3 linked regions of the Drosophila melanogaster genome follow. The protein of the gene in region 2 purifies or fractionates together with the protein of the main gene of each other region. This does not show direct contact. Each region holds a gene or a part of one and is shown on either strand. Other genes may lie near its edges.

The links. Proteins that work in one complex are often made in the same cells at the same time.
Region 1: the proteins of Tm2 (region 2) and Nplp2 purify together in Drosophila melanogaster (affinity purification with mass spectrometry, with the first as the bait; one large-scale study listed by BioGRID). This does not show direct contact.
Region 3: the proteins of Tm2 (region 2) and Fer2LCH purify together in Drosophila melanogaster (affinity purification with mass spectrometry, with the first as the bait; one large-scale study listed by BioGRID). This does not show direct contact.

What each region holds. Positions count from the first base shown.
Region 1 is NT_037436.4:13,354,774-13,359,608, reverse strand, and holds Nplp2 (Neuropeptide-like precursor 2), read right to left. Parts: upstream 3,234-4,835; 5' UTR 3,011-3,233; coding exon 2,966-3,010; intron 2,883-2,965; coding exon 2,757-2,882; intron 2,602-2,756; coding exon 2,512-2,601; coding exon of another isoform or gene 2,413-2,511; 3' UTR 2,386-2,412; downstream 1-2,385. Other genes in the region: CG17687 (uncharacterized protein), read right to left, coding at 4,760-4,835.
Region 2 is NT_033777.3:15,306,749-15,317,520, forward strand, and holds Tm2 (tropomyosin 2), read left to right. Parts: upstream 1-3,496; 5' UTR 3,497-3,551; intron 3,552-3,928; exon of another isoform or gene 3,929-4,325; intron 4,326-5,286; exon of another isoform or gene 5,287-5,446; intron 5,447-5,627; exon of another isoform or gene 5,628-5,651; 5' UTR 5,652-5,704; coding exon 5,705-6,298; intron 6,299-6,360; coding exon 6,361-6,538; intron 6,539-6,842; coding exon 6,843-6,925; 3' UTR 6,926-7,272; intron 7,273-7,779; coding exon of another isoform or gene 7,780-7,862; 3' UTR 7,863-8,449; downstream 8,450-10,772. Other genes in the region: Tm1 (tropomyosin 1), read left to right, coding at 842-927; CG14866 (uncharacterized protein), read left to right, coding at 9,895-10,073, 10,146-10,690, 10,747-10,772. UniProt on the Drosophila melanogaster protein: Tropomyosin, in association with the troponin complex, plays a central role in the calcium dependent regulation of muscle contraction. May also regulate motor systems required to maintain nuclear integrity and apico-basal polarity during embryogenesis.
Region 3 is NT_033777.3:30,386,840-30,392,969, reverse strand, and holds Fer2LCH (ferritin 2 light chain homologue), read right to left. Parts: upstream 4,141-6,130; 5' UTR 4,068-4,140; intron 3,832-4,067; exon of another isoform or gene 3,772-3,831; 5' UTR 3,760-3,771; coding exon 3,642-3,759; intron 3,555-3,641; coding exon 3,528-3,554; intron 3,274-3,527; coding exon 2,708-3,273; 3' UTR 2,386-2,707; downstream 1-2,385. Other genes in the region: Fer1HCH (ferritin 1 heavy chain homologue), read left to right, coding at 5,440-5,506, 5,859-5,867. UniProt on the Drosophila melanogaster protein: Stores iron in a soluble, non-toxic, readily available form. Important for iron homeostasis. Iron is taken up in the ferrous form and deposited as ferric hydroxides after oxidation.

The DNA.
Region 1 (4,835 bases), on a different chromosome or scaffold from region 2:
TCGAAATGTTTCAAAATGTGAAATAAATTAATCTTAGTTGATTGTTAGTAGTCTTCTTCTTAAGTAGTTAAACATTCCTGAGGCCACATAAATTTATTGATTTCTTAGTATTTCAATCCTAATTTTAAAATGTTTTTTTTTTTCTAAATGTCAAGTAAAATGATTTCGTCTTTTTTTCATATGTAATACGTTCAAGTTATCACACTGGCACCTCCGTCAACTTTGAACACCGAACCAACAACATTTTTCTGACGAAGCAAAGTCCTACGTGGAGTGCGTGTGGGCGTGGCTGGAAAAGCCGCATTCCTCGCCCCCATTTTATGTGGCGCACAGAAACTGGCTGATAAACGCAAACAAATATGGGCGTCAACAGCTCGAATGGGCGACGGAAAATGGTTGGCGTTGTTCTCGTTTCGGTTTCCTCGCAGTTGCCGTTGCATTCCATTAACATTACAAATGTATTCATTGTTCGCAACAGGCAGCAGCAGCAATGACGCCATTATGCGGAAATGTGACAAGTGATAGAAAGGATAATGCCACCCCCTCTGCATTTTGCCTCCCCTTCGTCCAGGATTCTGCTGCATGCGAAACTTTTGCCTTCGCCGTTGTTTTCGCTTCTTTATGCGCAAGTGGCTTTATTATTTGTTTTTCCCGCTCGCACGCTAATATGGCCAGATGTGTGTGCATATATGTGGTGTCTGGCTTACTGCAGATGCTGCACACCCAACAATAAAAAGGAGTGCAAGGAAATTGGGTTTTCTGCAGGAAGACTTAATACTCTAGTTTACGAATAACATTATAAAAGAATTTGTCGCGTAATTTAATCAAATATAATTTTAATAGAGCTCAAAACAGTGAGATGGGTTTTCAAAATAATAGAAAATATTTAAAAATATCTTAACTTTTTCATATGCCATTTAATTATGCACTTTGGAAAGCAATCTCCTAGTAAAAGGACTTTTACCCAATGGAAGAGAGTGGAAAACTAACAACAACAATCGTAAAAGGATGACAAAATCACAGAATGCCAAATTGTTTTCGTATTATTGTTGCCATTGTTGTCGCTGTTGTAGATGCAGTTGCTGTTGTTGTAGTTGCAGCTGCAGTGGTAGTTGTAGTTGTAGTTGTAGCTGGTGCTGTTGTTGAGCTTATCGTTATTTAAATTAGCATTACAATGCACTCACACTGGCGCACGCACTGCGTGACATCGCAACCATATTGTTGCTGTGGGAACTGTTTGCTGCAGTGCCGAGGAGGAGAGTTTTCCAACTTGGTTGTACTCCCATAACTCCGCAGAGCAGAGCATCGCATCGCATCCCACCCGCTCATATCTGGCCACTTTCTTTGCGATTGTTTAGCAGTAGTTAATACAATTTTAATAGATAAATAATTAAAAAACGAACTAAAAGCACTAAAAAATAAACTCCTACTTTTCTGAACGGTTTAGTTTTAAGAACATATTTCATATTTCATTCATTTCACAAATTTTGACAATTCACCATTCCATTCACAGTTCGAATCGTTGAGTAAACCAGTAACTCACGGCGGGTTTGAATAAGACAACCTTCTAGAAGTGAAACAAAAACATTTATAAATTTCACGCAACAATGCCATAGAAATTGGACAAGGATGTCCGTTGATGGGAGCACACAGGTAAGCACGACTACATAATATATGTCTAAGCAACAATTTGGCAATATCCGCCTTTGCAAACTTCCGTTTGTGCAACCCACATTTTTGGCCCAAAGCTCGATACGAAATCCCTTGGAAGAAGCAAAAATCCACTTTGGTATTATGCAATCGTGCGCGGCGATGAAGTTAGATTGGGCGATCGGAGGGGATTCCCCGAGATGCGATGCCGTACAAATGCCAATACATTATTCATGGTTTCGAAAGCCCTCACATTTCGTCCTCCATTCCCCGAGTTGGCTGCGCCAAACAGGTGTGCAAAATAGCTGACAAATATTTCACGCGTGCTACCGTTTCAAAGCCAGTTGTTCTTACGAAACTCAAATCATGGCAATAATTTTTGATTTTCTGCAATTTTCTTCGAAGAAGAGCGAGATCAGCACTCTTCAGCATCTAAAATCTTTAATAACACAGTGAAAACGGTATAGAAAAGTTCCATAACTTAGCTTGTAGGAAGTGCAATTAACCATTTTCGGTGGCCGTACTAATAAAAATTGGCATAATTATAATAATTTTATCCTAACCAAGTCAAATTCATGCGTGGAAGCATATTTTCTCAGAATAAAAGAAATATAAATAAAAAAATCATCTTTCAATCTAAACATCTCAATTTTACCAATTTTAAGGTAATAAAATAGCTATTCTAGAAAGTGGAATGGAAAAATTTTTTAAAGTAATAGGCAAATATATGTTTTTGTGCTAAAAACAATTAACGTTTTAATTTCATTTTTTAGTTTTCATGTATGTAACAACTAAAGTTAAAGTTAAAACATTTATTGGAGTCGTTTTCAATGTAATGATATATGGCCATCCAACAACGTCTTAGGTGGATGCGGCTGGTGCCTGAAGAAATGTTTCGTTAAGTTTTTGCAGACCCTCCTGCACGGTATTTAATCCATCCTTGAAGAGACCCTACACAGAGAGAAAAGTTGTTAGTTAGAAATTCGTAAATACTTTATGGAAAATACGTATGTAGTGGATAGAATGAGTTTTAAGCGTCTCCACGAAAAATGACTATTAATTACTTAGAACTCGCTTTATTTTTGATATGATTGCTTTATAATTACCTCAACCTTCTTCGCGTCCAACGCCTTCAACTTTTCAATGAATTCGTTGAAATCACCCTGGGCCTTGGTAAGAAATTCTTGGGCAGGATTGGATTCCTCACGGGGGACGCGGGCGGACAGAGCCAACTGAAATCAAAGTGCCACATTGTAGTTTATCTCTGAAAATAGGTCCTGCATCTGTGTGCCAGGACTTTGAGCATTTTACTTACGGCGAACAGGGCGAACACGAGGATGCAAATTGCGAGCTTGGCCATTTTTGTGTTGGTTTTTTGTAACTGCTGCGGAACTCTGAACTAGAGAACGATGACTTGAGTACTGATTGAACCTCTGCCAAACTACTCATAACGACACCTCGTTTTGCGCCGCAGCCGGCCGAATTTGAGACCGGCTTATCGGCACTAGGAAGGCCGAGCGTTTAGAGCTACGGAGCTGACCCGTGATAAGCGTACTTTTTTCCGTAGCATGCTGGAATAGATTGCTTCGCATAACAGCTGAGCGTTTGCTTGGCTCAAGAATGTCTACATTTGTTTAGTCACAGAAGATAACCGCTTTATGCAACCGCCAAATAGTTAATCTCTGTAGGACTTAATGGTATTGCCCTATCCTCGAATCCAGTATTCTAGCACTTGGCCCGTAACAAAGATTTAAATATATAATTTAAGAATATTTTTAATTTGAATTTCAACAAGAAATAATTATGGAATTACCACTGTATAAATTTGGAATATACATATCCTACAATGTGTGCTTATCATTTCAATGGCTCGCATAGCTAAGCTGTTCTGAAGGCCTTTCGATCCAGCAATCGGAATTGTTTATCTACTTTTATTTGTTTTTTTCATTAAAGACCAAATATTTTAATATTTCTGTAAGCATTTTTTTTAGTTAAATATATATTTATATATAGTTAAAGTGAAGAGATAACGCTATAGTCGACTTTCTGTACGAGTAACAGGTATATAGTCAATTTTATTTTATACTATAATTTCCATTTTACCGGCTATCAATGCAAAGCACGTGGCACGTGATAAGGTTTTTTTTAAATGCTTTTGATAAGGCGCCCTACATTCGAAATTATGTAATTGCGCAAAATAAATATTTATAATACCGAGTATTAGAAAATTTGACGAAGCAACCCGGAAATTTCCAACGCGAAGCTAAGTTGGAGAAATGCAAATGCGATTGGACTTGGGCAAACCAAACAACGCTTTCAGAATATTTAGACAGAGCTACTCTTGTAGACTTTGGATATCAAAAACGTAAATTTAGCATGGTGAACTCATCTTAAAAGGCGAATAGAAATAACGAAACACTATTATCAACATAGATGCTGCGGTAAAAAAACTGAACTAACAAAAATAGTGTATTCTGTAGCTCACCTCCAGGGGTTAAAGTAATTTAAATGATGAATTCGCATATTTAGTAAAGAAATTACAGTTCTCTGGTTTTGAAAGCTGAATAGATAAGGGCTTACTGCTCGGAGTAAATCCGAAGATTACGTAATGGTTAAAAGAGGTAATAATAATTAGAATAATAGTCGTGTATTGCCGTATTTTTAGCGTAATCACGATATGATAGCCATATAAAGTGACAATCGGGGTTTTTTATTTGTATTATATTGCAACAGTTTGATCTCTCGGATCAACTCTCGTGTCTTCAAGGGCAATTCATTAAAACAATAAATGTGAAGTGCGATGCTGAAGGGTTTCCCCCAACTTAAGCCCCAAAAGTAGTTAGTCAAGAGTAGAGTTTGTTTCGGGAGCAACGAACTAAACAGCAAACAGAGCTCAAAGTGCACGACTTTATGCCTCGTTTTCGTAATTTTCCCCAGACACAAACAAACCCAATTAAGTGGCAGCACGAGTCAGAAGACCCAGACCAGATACCCAGAACCACTAATAAATTTTCATTTGGCGGAATGAAAATATTTAATTGCAATTTCGCCAAGTGGCTAAAACTTAGCCCCACGGTCTGGTCTGTTGGTTGGTCGGGTTGAAGTTCTCCTAGGGCACCGAACTGAGGATATGCTCCGGCACTGGCGGATGACATTGGGGCAGGGGTGGACCCAACGTGGGGTAG
Region 2 (10,772 bases):
AGCCACCACCACCCGGATCCGAGCCAGAGCCAGTGCCAGCCGCTGAAGGAGAGGCTGCTCCGGCGGCGGAGGGTGCTGCTCCTCCGGCTGAGGGTGCTGCTCCACCCGCAGAAGGCGCTGTTCCTCCAGCTGACGGTGCTGCTCCGCCAGCTGAGGGTGCTGCTCCTGCTGCTGAAGGCGCTGCTCCTCCTGCTGATGGCGCCGCTCCTCCAGCCGAGGCTGCCGCAGCTCCAGCTGATGCAGCGGCTCCAGCTGCCGAGGCTGCTCCAGCTGAAGCACCTGCAGCCGAAGCCACCGCCGCCGAAGCTCCTCCAGCTGAAGCAGCGCCCGCCGAAGCGGCTCCAGCTGCTGCTGAAGGCGAGGCTCCCCCAGCTTAGGACCAGCTCGCCACATCCGCGCCAGAAATCGCTGCTGCACTTCGACGAAAGAGAAAACCACTGCTACCACATGCTGCCCTGCTTTTAAAAAACCTAGTTAAGAGCACGTTTTTTATTTTTGAAATAACTCAAAACGAAATTGAATTAAACATTCAGTTAGCCAAAGCATTATAAAAACGAAATGCTGCTTTTATTTTCTGTTCTTGCAAACTTTTTGATTTCCTTTAACCACACAGCTAGCACAACTTTGCGAACTCAACTGCTGGCTATTATTTATTTATTTTATCCGAAACCGAGGTAACTATCATTGGTTATTTTTTAAGTTATAAGTTTTTTGTGTAAAGGTCTCAGTTTGTGTCAGGTTTTAAGTGTAATTTTAATGATTTTCAATGAATTTATTTTTATTAATTTTCGTTCCTTACTCTTGCGTTCTTTTATGATTTCCCAAACAACAACTTGAACAGACGACCTCGTCCTGGAGAAGGAGCGCTACAAGGACATCGGAGACGATCTCGACACCGCCTTCGTCGAGCTCATCCTCAAGGAATAAGCGACAACCCGACCTTGACGGACCCTCGCACCCAGACCAAAATCGATCCGCACAGCTATATTTTTGGGCGGCACACCTTTCGATTGTTTGTTACTGTAGTCGCATAATCGTAGGCCCACTGTACTTGTATCTAGTAGCCTGCACTTTTGATTTGTGTGTTCGTAGATGGATAGTTTGTAGATTGATTTTGATCGCGGACCAATTAGAGGGAAGCATCGATGTAATTGTGTATTTGTTTGACTCAAACGTTTTTTATTTATTATTTGTATCCAAACTAAGCAATAAAGCAATCAACTTAAAAACATAAATCCCTATAAACTTGTCACATTTATTTTGTTTATTCCACCTGCTGCAGACGAGGTGAGCAAAGGTAAGGAAAAGTACAAAACCATCGCCCAGGAACTGGAGTACGCCGATCTCAACAACTACTAAGGGAATGAAATCCACTTCATGGGGAGATGAGCAGCAATCACTATGATGAAGACAAATGGAGTCCGAACGCATTCGACGTCCGAATTACAAATTATTTTTAGCATAACACTTCTTCGCCTAAGCATTCCCAAAAAAAAAACAACTTTCTTACATAAGAGCAAGAGTTTTACAATAAAGTAAAAAATACATTTTTAGCAATTACTATTGAAATTTATATGGAGCCTAAAGTTAAAACGAGTTGTGTAACGAAAAGAAACGCTGCCATTTTCCTTGAAACTAAAATTCCAGCTCGAAAAAGTATGTGTAATATTTTGAATACAAAACCCCAGAAAGCCCACCACTCAATATCGTTAATCAGCATCTTCAAATAAAAAACTCAGTTACGCTTAAGCCAGAGTCAATTTTTCTCAACTTTCTGTTGCTTGTGTGTTTTTATGGCAGTTCGCGAAGTGTATCTACAAAATTTCTATGGCCTTTGTATATGTTTAAACAACAAGAATAGGAGATATATTATTAGAATATATAAACGAAGACATATAAATTAAATTTACACATTTGTCATAGCTTTTGTAATTCTATGAAGCGTGCAAAACAAATATAACAATGTATGTATTTTTCTTTTTCAACTCAATATTTTTACGATCAATAAACTGAAATCATTCTTTTGCATATAAAAAATTTCATGGATTTTTTATTTAAACGGTGGGTTGCATTAGTTAAATAATAAAAATATGCACTGATCATGAATCGAATATAAAGGACATAAAGTGTCCTGTTGGTTTCAATCTGCCGGAATATTGTGTATCCTTATTAAAAGTTAATATTGAAATCAAAATCAAATCATGCTTATATCCCAAAACTTATAGGATGTTTTTATTTGTGTTGGAATAACCATATTTGTCACATGTGTGATATTTTAACTCAACATTAAATATTCTTTGGAGCTACATATATAAAAAAAGTTTAAAATAAGCTTAAAGAAGAAGGGTTTTGAAAAATCGAATTTGAAAACTGAATACGTTTGCTCGCCAATTAGTTGTTTTTGAACAGTTTTGAAAATATGAAGTTTCAAACATTTTCCTAAATCAAGAAGAGCTATAAATCAACTAAAATTTGAAGTTATAAAAGTCTATAAATAAAGTGCACAATATTATTGACTTATGTAGGTTTGGCTTTTAAGTAAAATTTATTGCTGAACGAGAATAAAAAGATCGGGAGTACATATAAGTGTAATCCAGAGACTATGAGACATTTGGTGGAATCTTCTTGATATATAATAGTATTAAAGAAGATGTTACGTCACAGAAATATTGAAAGAAGAAGAAAATTGAACTGGATTTTGAGATGAATTGCTAAATGGATTTAGCGAGGTCGGACATATAAATAAAACCCACCATATATATTTATCTTTTAAATATACCTATATAAAAATATACATATATCTATAGAATTTCTTAGTTTAGAGTTTTGATAACAATTTTTCCATATCGTTACTTAATTGGTTATTAAAATAAATAAATTATAGATTTTATTCTTCAGTTATATAGTAAGTTAAGTGGTTTTGTTTTAGCAAAAAATCGAACGGGGACAATTAACACACAAGAAAATCGGATCAATTGCCTTGCATTCGAGACTTTCGAAAGCAAAAGAACGGCAGGAAAACGCTGGCCGATCAAAATTCCAAATATTTCTCAATATTTTTTTACCGAGCGAAAATAGATTTTCATCTTGTTGGACTTTTGCTCTTGCTGCTTGTGGCTATTTTTGGCCGTGTATCTGACGGATACACGCACACACACAGACAGCGAGAGTGCTGTGAGTAAAATATAAATTGAATTTAGATTTAAGAAGCAGAAAGAAAAGCGCATAAATTTCACGAGAATGCAGCCCAAAAGAGAGAGCATCGTATGAAGCAGCTTTTGGGGGAAATTTCGAGGGAAATTTTCGAGATCGCCGAGCAAAGTTGCGAAAGCGCCATTCCACATATACATTTATTAATGGGAAATTTTTGAGGCGAGAAATTATTCAATACCGCGTTGGTGTGTGCCCTCAGTGTGTGTGAGTTTTTCCGATTTTCCGAGTGGCAGTGTGCGTGTGCGTTGGATCTTGGGGTCGCTTTCTGGGCTAAGCAACTTGGTCAGCATCAGTGTTCTCGGGGTTTCGACAGCGTATAGTGTGTTTGAAACGCTAAGGTTGGTCACGCCAGGATTTTCACCCGACAAGAATTAACTCAAAATAAATATAATTAAATCGCTCGCCTTTGCTGCTAACCAAATTGGTATTTTCAACTGGATTTCGAGTGGATAACAAAATTGTGATAAGTGCATGGCATTCAAAATTATAAATTTTGAATTTTCCCCAAACGGGAAAAAAAAGGAAAACCTTGTTAAACTTAAATAAAATGTGCATATGTATATGTGTCAATTAGCCTGGATATAAAGTTCTACAAAAAGTTAAATGAGTGATCCAAATGTAATGGAAGTGAAAATTGCTATAACTAAAAAAATGAATATCTCTAAAAAACTTAAAATGAACGATCTAAACTACTTGAAAATGGAGATCTTATGATCATTTTTCGGATATTTTCAAAATTCGCTTATAAGGAATTTTGTAACTAAATCTGACGGCACCAATACCATCCAATAAATATCTGTGTGTGTGTGAGAGAATTTTTTTTTGCACACACACACATGAGCTTCATTCGGAAAGCTCTACACGAATGGGACACATATACATATGCACCTTACACACTTATGGCACGCACAATTTTCACACACACAATCACACTCGACCGATAAAGTTTTCCTCGAAGAAAATTCTTTAAAATTAACTGCAGACAGACACCTGCCTGTCACACACACACAGACATACGCATTTATTTTTAACTCTGCCTGAAATTTATACGAAAAAGCTTTTCCGTCTAGCTTTCTGTGATCTCAGAAAACGAAGGCAGTCGAGAACTATAGGTATTTATCCTTGAGATTGTTTTCGAGAGAGATATTTTGGAAAATATTAGAGACGTAGACGATTCCCAGATGCGGATACATATGGTATCTATCTGGGAATATATATATTCAAGGCATAGCCACCCACACAGAATTGTAGATTTCAGAGCGAATATTTCTAGCCATTCGTGAATGCGTCCGAAGGCCGCAAAATTTGCCATCTTTAAGATACATATTCGAACTGATTGAAAGCCCAAGTACCTTTGGCAATCACCAAAAATTTTAATGATGTGAAAACTAAGTAGCTATTTAACATATTATAAGTTATTTAAAGTCTTTAGAAAGAAATCCTTTTTACCTCATAAATCACATATTAAACATTGCTTATGTTTTTTTGGGTACAAAACACACATGAGTATCGCAAGACCTCCAAAAGATCAGCAACTACAACATAAATGACTTTGCCCCACTTTGGGTGGTAGCAACATAGATACACGAATTCGAATACGAATACGCCCACACACCAAATGACCCCAAAGAATTGAATACTTTTCAAATTGCAATCGGTGGCGAGCTATGTACATATATATGTGGGGTATTTCGAAATAATAGGGGGAAACTCTAGAATTACATTTAGCACACAATGTCCAAAAAAGCATTTCTCCTATGCGTGTGTGTGCGAGTGGACTGGATATTTTTTTCTCACATGCAAAAGCATATAAAGTTTATTTTTAACCCCACCGAATCGTGCAGCAAATAAACATATAAACATATAGCTCACCGACGGATCCGGATTCGGATTTTGAGTGGGCGTTTTGAAAATGGAAAATGAAAATTACGTGAGATCTTTTGAGAATGCTCGGCGTAGCCGCCAAACAAAATGTGTTTACATTTAATTCTCAAATTTATTGCACGAACACATATGCACAGCATATAGATATATACAATTTAATTATACCTATGGATAACCTATAGAATGCGCCTGGATCGTTTAAATAAACCGATTTTGTCTTGCAGCGGAAACATAAAAATTCTAGAAGTCACAGTAAAGAAACAAAAATGTATAGTCAAAAGAAAAATCCAAGTTCAAAAAATCTGTAATTTATGAAAGGAAATAAACATTGGAATATCTTAGGACCAACGTATATATGTTATAATATATTATTAAGCGGTTCAAAGCTACAATTAGATTTAAATAAAAAAGTCATACATTTTATTAATTATATAATATTATTATTATTATATTATAGTATATATAATATTCTATGCCTTATGAAAATTGCTCCTTAAAAATTGCACATTAAGGATTCAGTTATTCAGCTTACTCATTTGTATTATTTGGCACAGTGCTTTTTTCCAGTTTTCTTCCCTTGTAAGTCAAAAACAAAAACACAAACACCATGGACGCCATCAAGAAGAAGATGCAAGCGATGAAGCTTGAGAAGGATAACGCCATTGACAAGGCCGACACCTGCGAGAACCAAGCCAAGGATGCCAACTCCCGCGCCGACAAACTGAACGAGGAGGTGCGCGATCTGGAGAAGAAGTTCGTCCAGGTGGAGATCGATCTGGTTACCGCCAAGGAGCAGCTGGAGAAGGCCAACACCGAGCTGGAGGAGAAGGAGAAACTCCTGACCGCCACCGAGTCCGAGGTGGCCACCCAGAACCGCAAGGTGCAACAGATTGAGGAGGATCTGGAGAAGTCCGAGGAGCGCTCGACCACCGCCCAACAGAAGCTGCTGGAGGCCACCCAGTCGGCCGATGAGAACAACCGCATGTGCAAGGTGCTGGAGAACCGTTCCCAGCAGGATGAGGAGCGCATGGACCAGCTGACCAACCAGTTGAAGGAGGCCCGCATGCTGGCTGAGGATGCCGATACCAAGTCCGACGAGGTCTCCCGCAAGCTGGCCTTCGTTGAAGACGAGCTGGAGGTGGCTGAGGATCGTGTCCGCTCCGGCGAGTCCAAGATCATGGAGCTGGAGGAGGAGCTGAAGGTGGGTCCTCAAGAGAAATCCTTCTGTTCTCAAACCACTATTCATGGTGTATTCCCAACTAGGTTGTCGGCAACTCCCTGAAGTCCCTGGAGGTGTCCGAGGAGAAGGCCAACCAGCGCGTGGAGGAGTTCAAGCGCGAGATGAAGACCCTGTCCATCAAGTTGAAGGAGGCCGAGCAGCGCGCCGAGCACGCCGAGAAGCAAGTGAAGCGCCTGCAGAAGGAGGTCGACAGGCTAGAGGGTATGTATCCAACTTCCTACGCCCCTGGCACATTCACTCAGCCATTTTCCGCGGAGGTATCTCTCCACGGGACACCGGAGATGCTGTCCACCGGAAGTGATCCGCCTCGAACGGCCGGATCGCTGGCTTCAACTAATGCTCGCATTGTATTTATCGCCATAAGGATATTAATAATTGTACTTAGTACTCTGCTTTCATTAATTGACGTTCCACATTCACACATCTCGCTCGCTCGCCCTTTTTTTTGAATATCTCTCTATATATATATTTGTATAAATGAACAACAAACAAATGCTTTTTGCAGACCGTCTCTTCAATGAGAAGGAAAAATACAAAGCAATCTGCGACGATTTGGACCAGACATTTGCCGAACTTACTGGATATTAAAAAAGATCACAAACAGAACTCACACAATGCCCTTGCCTCCCCCCCCCCCCAACCGCCCCTTGCCCAACTCCCCCAAAAAAAGGAACACTCTCAGTACATCCCGAATCCCACACAGTTTATTATATATATATATATATATTCTATATTATATTTTTGGAACGATTCCCCCAACAGTTTCAGTGTATTTACCACCCAGCCCAACACGCCACACTTATCTATACACTGTAAATAATCTGTTTAGTCCCGCTTGAATGTGGCCACACCCACACGACCAGTTCCCTACGCCAGTACACTGTAAAAATAAGTTCAGATCAAGCCAAACCAAGTTGCAACTGTAGTTAATACAGGTGAATTTATCAATGTAAATATTGTTGTTTGTATGCCAGATTCTTACCCGTTGTGATGTGGCATGACCTCTTGACCCGTCTCGCCTTCGCACTCTATCTCAGTCTATGTCTCTATGTCTCTCTCTCTCTCTCTCTCTCTATCGTCTCGTCGATCATCAGTGGCTTTCGTTCGAGCCAATTTCGCCCAGGCCTTGGTCGAGGGATTCTCTCAAGGATTGCTGCAACGATTGGTTGGATAGATCATGTCCACATCCCGTAGAGCACCCCATAGATAGTCCTGTCCCCCACCTCCCCTGAAAACCCACGCACAGAACCGCTGACTAACCCAAAAGATCAAAAGATAGAAACGCCTGCCAGAACAGCGCGCCACTAATCCTAATCAATAACTCCATAAACTTGGTACACATGGTGTAAAGTTTGAGTGTTTTTCGTTTCAATTCCAATGTTAAAAAACCATATTTTTGAATATTTTCTAACGCATTTCCAACCACCATTTGCACTCCGCAGACGAGTTGGGCATCAACAAGGACAGGTACAAGTCCCTGGCCGACGAGATGGACTCCACATTCGCCGAATTGGCTGGCTACTAAGTTGGCCAACAGTCCCATTATACCAAATCCACACCAGCAGCGGAGGAAGATGGAGACGACGACGAGATGGAGAACTCTACTAATTGTAAACGAATATCTCAAATTGATTTGGCCAACACGAAGATCGGCGGCCGCAGATACCAAGAACAACAACCATTGTGTATGCAATTCTTTATAAATCTATATATTTCATAATAAATAAATAACAACAACAAACAGATCAACAACAGCAACAAAGCCAACGAGCATAGAAAGCAAATGGAAATTCTTTTGTTTTATAAAAAATAAAATTATCTAAAGTCAAAAGTAGCAGAATGTATAAAGTAAACAAAACGAAAACAAGAACACGAATTTTGTATTTTTAAAATCAATGTTTAAAAATATTAAGAAGCGCTTGCAGTCAGGCAATAAGAGCGAGAGAGCTAGAGAGAGTGCCCAGGAAAGAGACGGGGCTAAATTTAAAATTTTAAGATCGCGCTGCCTGCTTTACTTTCAGTTTATATCTTACAATTACACCACAAACAAACAAAAAAACACCCACAAAAAAAGTATAAAAAAATTTATAAAAACTTTGCTAAAAAAAAATTATATGTTTGATGTTTGCTTTCAATGATGCACAAAACCGAATTTCTTTGCCCTTCAGCGAATCGCGCTGAAGTTCACTACATTTTTGGCGGATATGCAAAGTAGTCTTCAGTTTTTTCCACCGATTTCTCATACTCTTGGGAAACCCCATGGATGCTGGGCCGAAATAACCAAGTCCGAAGTGCGTCACCACTTCATCGGAGATGGATCACGATCCGCAAATCGAGGCCTTCATTGCAACATCTTTAGCATCCGCGCTAATTGTCAAAGCAATGAATAATGAAAGTTCAGTTATCTGTATATATATGGCATATATACACATCCTCAGGGTGATTTCCAGATATGAATTGTAGATGTGGGCAGCTCGCCGTTTTGACCATCAATAAGTGAGTTAAGGCCGCGTTCGACATGTGGGTCTGTTGCTCTCTTGGCCAAATGGACTTTCTTGTAAACTGAACTCGAATTGAATTTCCATTTCTCCTCGCTCTTCTCGCGACGTTGGCCATAAAATAGTTATTAAATCGTTAAGTGGTGTGTTAAATTACCCACTTAAAGCGCCAGTCATTATTTACATAATTTACATTATGGTATATGGAAGCTGGCAGATATGTTCATCTTATGAAAAAAAAAGAAAGAGTCATTTCGAGTTTAAAAAAAAAAACTTTTGTTTTTAGCTTTTAAAAAGAAATATATAGAGAACGGTTGATATTTTAAAAGCTGTTATCTTTAAGATAGAAGTTGAAATATGAATGATTATTCCATGTTTATATTGCCCGGGGAGGAACTAGAAAATCGCCTAAGTTACTTTCTTAGTTAACCGCATTCAGAAAGTCATTCCTCACAAGTCGAAGAACACCCAAATGAACATGGCACATCCAGCACACCAAACTCCATTTCATTCAAGTTTAAGCCAGCAGTTTTCGCTTCAATTGACAGCCGCGTCAATTACCTAAGTCTGGGCCAATTTGGTTGGAGTGCAAACAAACAGTGGGTCGGACCGGGCCGGTCCACAAAAGCGGCGAGCGGAGCAGTAGAGATGCCGATGAAAAGCCCAATGACTTACATTTGCCCACCACAGCCAAGCGAAGGAGAAAGTGAAATTTTGCATTTCTCGGCGGCCGGCAGCAACAACAATGGGTCTTCGGTCTGGTTGGGTCTGGTCTTGGCCATTGCCATTGGCATGGTATTGAAGCGGTGCGACGGTAGCAGGGAAGAGGGGAAGGAAGAGGCGATCAGCGAGCGGAGCGGACCAGGCCCAAAGTCAAGCGCAGAGCTTCAGTCGTGGTTTTCAGCTCGACCCAAGCGAACGGACGTCTTTGAACAGCGGACGCGGCATAAACCGCACGGAAAACGCAACGAAATCGAAAGTGTTCACCACGCGACTGGAATCGCCAAGTGCTTAGCGAGGCGGGGGCAATATACCCATCCGTAAACATTACGTGTCACCATGCCGCCGGCTGGTCAACAACTCCGGCTTACGGCCCTTGTTTATCTGGCATTAGGTATTGCACTCTTATGCAATGGCAGCGATGGTGAAACTAGGCAAAAATACGCCAATGAATCACTCGCGGACGCAGACGATCCATCTCCAGTTTGGTCGCAATTTCTCGAAGATTACGTCTTGAGGTATGGTTACAGGAGGCTAGGCTAGGGCAACACACTCATCCAGATCTTCCCACGCGTCTGTCTTACATATAGCCAAGGCAGCAGTAGCAGCGGCAGCCAGCGAAAGTCCAAAGACCTGCCTTATATGGGCGCGGACATGGGCATCAATGGACCGCTCAGCTATCACTCGTCCGCCTACAAGCGACCCGGCAACAATATCTACATCACCAGGAGAATTGGCGAGGCGGTGGAACTAGAGCCGCATCTGCGAAAGCCCGTGGAGAGCCAGAGTCCCATTGTGAATCCTCAGTTCCGACCCATGACCAATCAAATGTTGCACCAGCAACACCAACAGATGCAGCAACAACAGCAACAGCAACAGTTGCAGCAACGCCAGCAACCGGGTTTCCTGCAGCAGCTCTTTGGCATAGGTGGCAGTGGTGGTGGTGGTGGTAGCGGTACCCAGCAACAGCAACATGTGCGACCAGTGCCGCTGCAACAGCAGCAAGTGCAACAGATAGCGCAGCAACACCCGCAACAGCAACATCTTGTGGGCGGTCAGCCGACCACATTCCGAGCTGTCTCCGAAAATGATCTTTATCTCTTGGGAGCCATTGAAAAGTTGGTGTATCGAGTGGGTAAGTTGAAGTCACACCTAGGAGTTCTTGGTCTAAGTAAAAGCAAACACCCATAGATTACCTGGAGAGTCGCGTGCGGCGC
Region 3 (6,130 bases), about 15 Mb from region 2:
GCGATAAGGACGTTTATTCAGTCCCAGTCCCGCGCCAGTAAAAATTTGTTAATGAAAAATGGCAAACAATTTCGCTTCTTGGCCTGCCTGTCTGCCTTGCCACCGAAAACATGGCGAAAAACAAAGGGACAGGAGACAAGACTTTTCATTAAAATTGCACAGGCGTAGAAGTGGTCGTGAGAGAGGGGGGGGGAGTGGTTCAAGGATTATTTATGGGAGCCTGGCGGAAGCTGTCGGCGCAGCTGCCTTTCACTGGCTGCAAATGGCATTGCAATAAAACGAAATTAAATTGCTATTTTGCATACATATTATGTGTGCCCAAATGTCCTGGACACTCTCACACACTCACACACAGACACACACCCACACACATTCTCATATTCATAGTTGTCTGGATGGCGAACAATAACCAAAATATTCGGAATCCTTTGACAACATCTGGCCTCCCAAATAGTTTTTAACCCCTGCCACCTCAACCACAACCCTTTGTAATTGCTTGACGCTTTTATTAAAATGCATAAATGAATAGAATTATTTTGGGGCAAAGACACCTTTTTATAGCCGCCATTTAGAGCATGTGTGGAATGGCTTCGAAAAACCAGTTTAGGACCACATAATTTGTGCGATGGCTCATGACCAAACAATTACAAATGACGAAGTTAAGATCCTCGCCAAATGCACCACAAATGACCGCAATTAGCCACCCTACTCTCTACCGTACACTTAGAGAAATCTTATGGTCTATAAAAATGAGCGCCTTAATTTGATCATTCCTTCAATATAAAAATGTCAAAGTTACTAAGCTTGTATCCCTTCTTATATTCTTATATTTAATTGGTTCCAAGACTTGACTACCCTCTTTTTTTCCCTGTGCATCCAGCGGACATAACGAAAATCATTGAGGCAGCATCCATCCGCAAATCAGGGCAATTAATATTAAGTGGATTATTATTTAATGACCGCTGCACGCACTCGGAGACACTGAAGAACCCACTCGGAGCGATCCAAGCACTATTCCAACCCAAAACCACATCAACTTGAATCCCATTTGGTCCTAACTGTTATGATTCCGAATGGAGTTTTCTCTTATGGCTGTCATATTCTAATTACATAAGAGCACGCAGTTATTACACGGATTCGCCTAATGCCGCAGATACGGATGCTGTGATTTGATGACCCCTGACCCCTGGCATTAAAATGGCAAATTGACGTTCATTTCACGTGCTAGTGGACCGTATCCGTACTCCGGATGTGCGGCGATATGAGCAAAGTCCTCATTGAATGGGCGTCGCTAATTGATAAATTGCTTCGATGCGTGGCTGGGATCCATAGTCGCATAGTACAATAGCTACTCAAATGCCGCAGAAAATGCTTAGAGAAAACCACTTTCAAAAGTGATTAAAGATACATTTTTACCTATTTCACACGTTAATTGAGCAGCTGTTATAGGATCTTACGGAATTTCCTAGAATTAATAGAGCTTCCATGTGGATTATAAAAAAAAAACTCATATTCACAAATAGGGATTCACAACAATTATTGTAGGTCAGGAGAGTGAGGAGGGAGCAGAGGAAGATAGGGAAACTGCGATGCAAATTCAGGGGACAATTAAAATCCGAGATTGCATCGGCTTACGCAACAATGTGACATCCACGTCATCGTGGAGTCTCCGACTTAGTCAGCAGACGGCCAAGATGGCGCCCGGCGGATCTGCTCCGGTTCCGGAGCGGCAAAGCCGTGTGCACCAGGCAGTGATAAGGCGACAGAGAGAATCTCGCATGGAATGACAAACGTGGCCCCTTCGTATCAGCGGCGGAGGAGTGTATCACTGATTAGATAGTCGGGCTCCTTTAAGCCCCACAGATCACTGCGAGAGATAGGTTTCACTTTTCACCATCGATTTAGGTTGTCAATTGAAAGAAAGTAATAAATTGATATTGAGATAGATAGATCCCACTAGATCCTAAGTGATTCCAGTCTCTGAATGGTCAAAAAGATGATTTTAAAATGGTAACGTAGTTTGCATACAATACTACGATATTTACAACATGGGTTTACATTCTCATTTATTTATTTATTTTTAGACAAGCGTTGATGGCTTGTACATAAACATATGGTTTTTAGTTGAAGGCACATTCTAAGAATATCAGAAACCACAACATTATGGAACATTACACCCGTTGTGATCGCAGAACTGAGTAGTTTCCGATACCATTTCGACTTTGTATATTTCATTGTTCCATATGATATCCAAAGTACACTGCCAGCCAGCCCGCAATCAGCAGCACTCGGAGAAAAAACGCAAACAGACGCCCCTCATTGAGGACCAGATACATTTCGACCCAAACCCAAACCTTATCAGAGAGGCAAAAATGCTGCTGTTTTACTAGTTGATAATTAGGTTCTTTGATGTGTTTATTATTTGTTCAAGCGGTAACGTACATACTAAAGATACATTTGCTGGGGCGAACTTGCTAACTTATTTATGATAACATTATCACAATCTGGTGTGCTGGTAAATCAAGGTGAATTTCGCGGTGTAAATTATTCACTTGTGGCTGCTTTGATAATGCTGCTGCTGCACTGCGATTTATTGATGAACAATCCAAGGAAACAAATTTATAAGGGAATTATGAGAGCAATTTTGAGGAGACAGTGTAGGAGCGTGTTAGAAAAAGAAGGAGGAAAAGGAGGTGGTCTCCACTCCTTACTGCTTCTGCAGATACTCGTCGAACAGGTAGACGGACAGGGATGGGTCGGGGACCTTCATCAGCTTGGCGAGGTCGTTGGCATAGCCGGACAGCTTGCGCACGCTCTCGGCCTGCTTGCCCAGGAAGTTCTCCTCGAAGTAGTGGGCCAGCTCGGGATCCCTCTCGGCGTCGGTGGCGTGGGTGGCACGGGAGTGCACGTGAGTGGCTCCGGTGGCCAGCTGCTTCTCGGTGTCCAGAGCCAGAGCCAGGGAGTGCAGTTCGTCGACCTCAAGAGTGCCGCGCTTGGTGCTCACGGAGCCGGAAGACTCGTGGCGGGTGTTGAAGTCAACGATTCCTCCGCGACGGGTCACCTGCTTGATCAGGGCAATGCTGTCCTCGAAGGAGCGGTCCGAGAGTCCCTGGTACAGCTTCTGGAAGCCGGGGCGGTTCTTCTGGTAGGAGTTGAAGTGGGTGGCCAGCAGGAGGTAGTCGTACGACTTGGCCAAGTTGGCGTTGATGTAGGACTGGATCTCGGGCTCAATATGGTCAATGCCAGCAAAACGGGCATTACAAATGGAGTTGGCTACGGGGAAAAAGCAAATAATAAAGATCACACTCTTAGAATAGGAGAGCAGAAGCACATCCAATAGTAATGACATAGTCTTAATGGTTCCTAACTAGGTAGTGCCATACTAAACAAGGCAATAGAATTTTGAATTTGTATTTGTATCTTTAAAATAATAATGTAAGGGCCGTAATGCAGTAAGAATTGGAAAGTGTTCATTTTCACGAAATCTGAGATAGTGCAGAAATACATCCAATCTATATTTCACTTACTCTTGCCTGTGAAAAAGCCCGTGAGCGCTTGTTTTTATTATTATGTTTTACAAAGATACAAAAAGCAACAACACAGATTAGCCACTCTCTCTTAGAGGCGCTCTCTTTACTCACCCGAAAAGGCTGACGTAGAGCATGCGGTGATTACAGTGTTCTGGCAATATTCATCATCCTTGGCCAAGGCAAGAGAGCCGAGGCACGCAAAGAGAGCGAGTGCAACGAAAAATTTCATGTCGACGGTTTACTGTAAATTAAAATCAAATTCGAGAGGCGAAAACAAAGGAAATTAGTTTCACAACAATTGACAATTGGAAAACAGACACTTTTGTTTTCATTTTGGGCGAGTTTTTTCGTTTTGCGTCGTAGCGTTTTCTTGAATTTTCTGTGCTCTTTTTTAACAACAAAACCACCACCAATGGAATGTTTTGGTTTTTAAATTTATATGGTGGTCGGTTTAAAAACACAGTTTCCAGAATATTATTTTCTAGTTTTCGTAACTAAACACTCACAAAGTAGTTAGTTAGTAATATTAAAACTCACTTCCAGTGCCTGTGCTTTTATTAATAATTCAATCGCTTTATGTGCTTCTTGGTGAAACTCTGAAAATCAACTGCTGTTTATAGCGTCGCGTACGTCTCTTTCTATGCGATCGATATGGCTGTGTGTGTGTGGTTTTGGAGAGCGTGCATGGGCATGTGTTGTTTTGCGCTCAGTGCGGGATTTCGGTGTCATTCAAATATGGCCGCTGCCAGTGCTGTTGTTGCTGCGCCTGCTGGAAGGTGACTCACGACAGGGTTGTCAGCGTGTGCAAAATATGGACGCTGCACTTTGGATTTCAAGTGGTTTCCTGAGAGTTTTATCAGCTAACGATGAGAATTGAAAATAAACTGCAGATAAACCATCTACCTCCTAAGATAATGTTTTAAGTTTTGATATATTGGTAATTCACAGCAGCATCGAGCTTGAGACTGTTGCTATTTACAATACATATTATTGCTGGGTTCGGAGATAATGTAGGGTTTCCCCAATCAACAAACAAATTATGTAATTTGTAAGTTTTCCCACCATGTATCCTTCTTATCAAGTGTCATTCTTGGAGCTCTGCAAGCGACACGTAAAAAAGAGCCGTCGCCATATTAGCAGTTATCAAAGTGGGTGACTGATCCCCCCTTCGAACGTGCAAATCAACTTGACAAAATGTGAATTAAATTGTCAGCAATAATTAAACCGCCTGGCAACACATGACGTGGTGCTCTCCCACGGCCAAAACAAAAACAAAGAACAGCTGATGCGCATCTCAAAAGAGCGGCCATATTGCATTTGATAAATTTACTTCTTAGTAAGTGGGGATTATCTGACTAGGAAACCCGACTTTATACAAAGTATACCCATATTGAGGACGTGTGTATCACATTGAGTGCGGCAATTATCGGGAATATTCAATTATCAGCCATTTAAACGGTTAACAAAGAACGGGCGACATGTTGAAAAGATAACAGTGCACACTCTCCCATCACTCACACACACACGAAGAAAAACCGAGAGCGCGCGCGCTTAAAAGTGTTTTGTGCGCCGTTCGGAGCGACAGTTCGCTTTCGAGTTCGCTAAAACACAACGTAGAAAGGCCTTAGCTCCACTGAAAAATCAGATTAAAGCTGTCAGCAGAAGGTACTGGAAAGCATTCGAGAAGTCGAAAATAATCCCAATCAAGCCCATCAAATTGAAGCAGGCGACGCCTTCTGCGCCAGTGTGTGTAAAGGCAGCTAGATTTTCAATTTCAACGCCTATTTAACATTGTAGCTCAACTCGAGTCGCCTCATTCTCATTTGTGCATTTCAAGCAAATCAAACTAAAGTGAAAAACAAATTTTTGTTCTGTGATTTTGTGTAAAGACTACGTTCGACGATCAAAGATGGTGAAACTAATTGCTAGCCTGCTCCTGTTGGCCGTGGTGGCCCAGGCCTATGGAGATTTCAAGTGTAAGTACTAATGTTACGTTTTATTCATCAGAATTTCAAACAAAACAAAGGCAGGTCATCGGAAAAAAAACAATAAATTTCGACGCAATACGCAAAGAGAAGCAAAACATTTGTAATGCGTTGAAAAGAGCATGCGCCGTTTCTCTTTGACGCTCTTTCACTCTCTTTCGTCAATGAAGTGAAGTTACCAAACCAGTTGATTTAAAAGTTATTGATACTTCCGTTGCGCTTTGGGGAAATGATAACCAGTTTTTATACATAAATTTTCATAATTAAATAATGCGAATTTCGCTTTCATTTCCATGAATATTGCGGTATAAATAAGCTTGACTTTTTGTTGTTACATTTCAAGGCGCTCTTTGCACACGGCTTTTACGGGCCGAGTGAGCTAGCATGGTGAACCATGCTTTTTGCACACGGCACTACACGAAAACAAATGCCGTTACTATGGCGGCGAGAGCTGCGCACGTTACCAATGCAGTTACAAAAACAGAGAGAGAGAGTGGGAGAGTAGGCCATTACAGTTTTGCACACGGTTTTTGTGCCCTAGAATAGCGGCATTTCAAGCGCAATTTCAAAGGTTTATGCAATTACGCCCTCTTAAATGCAATAACCAACAACGCC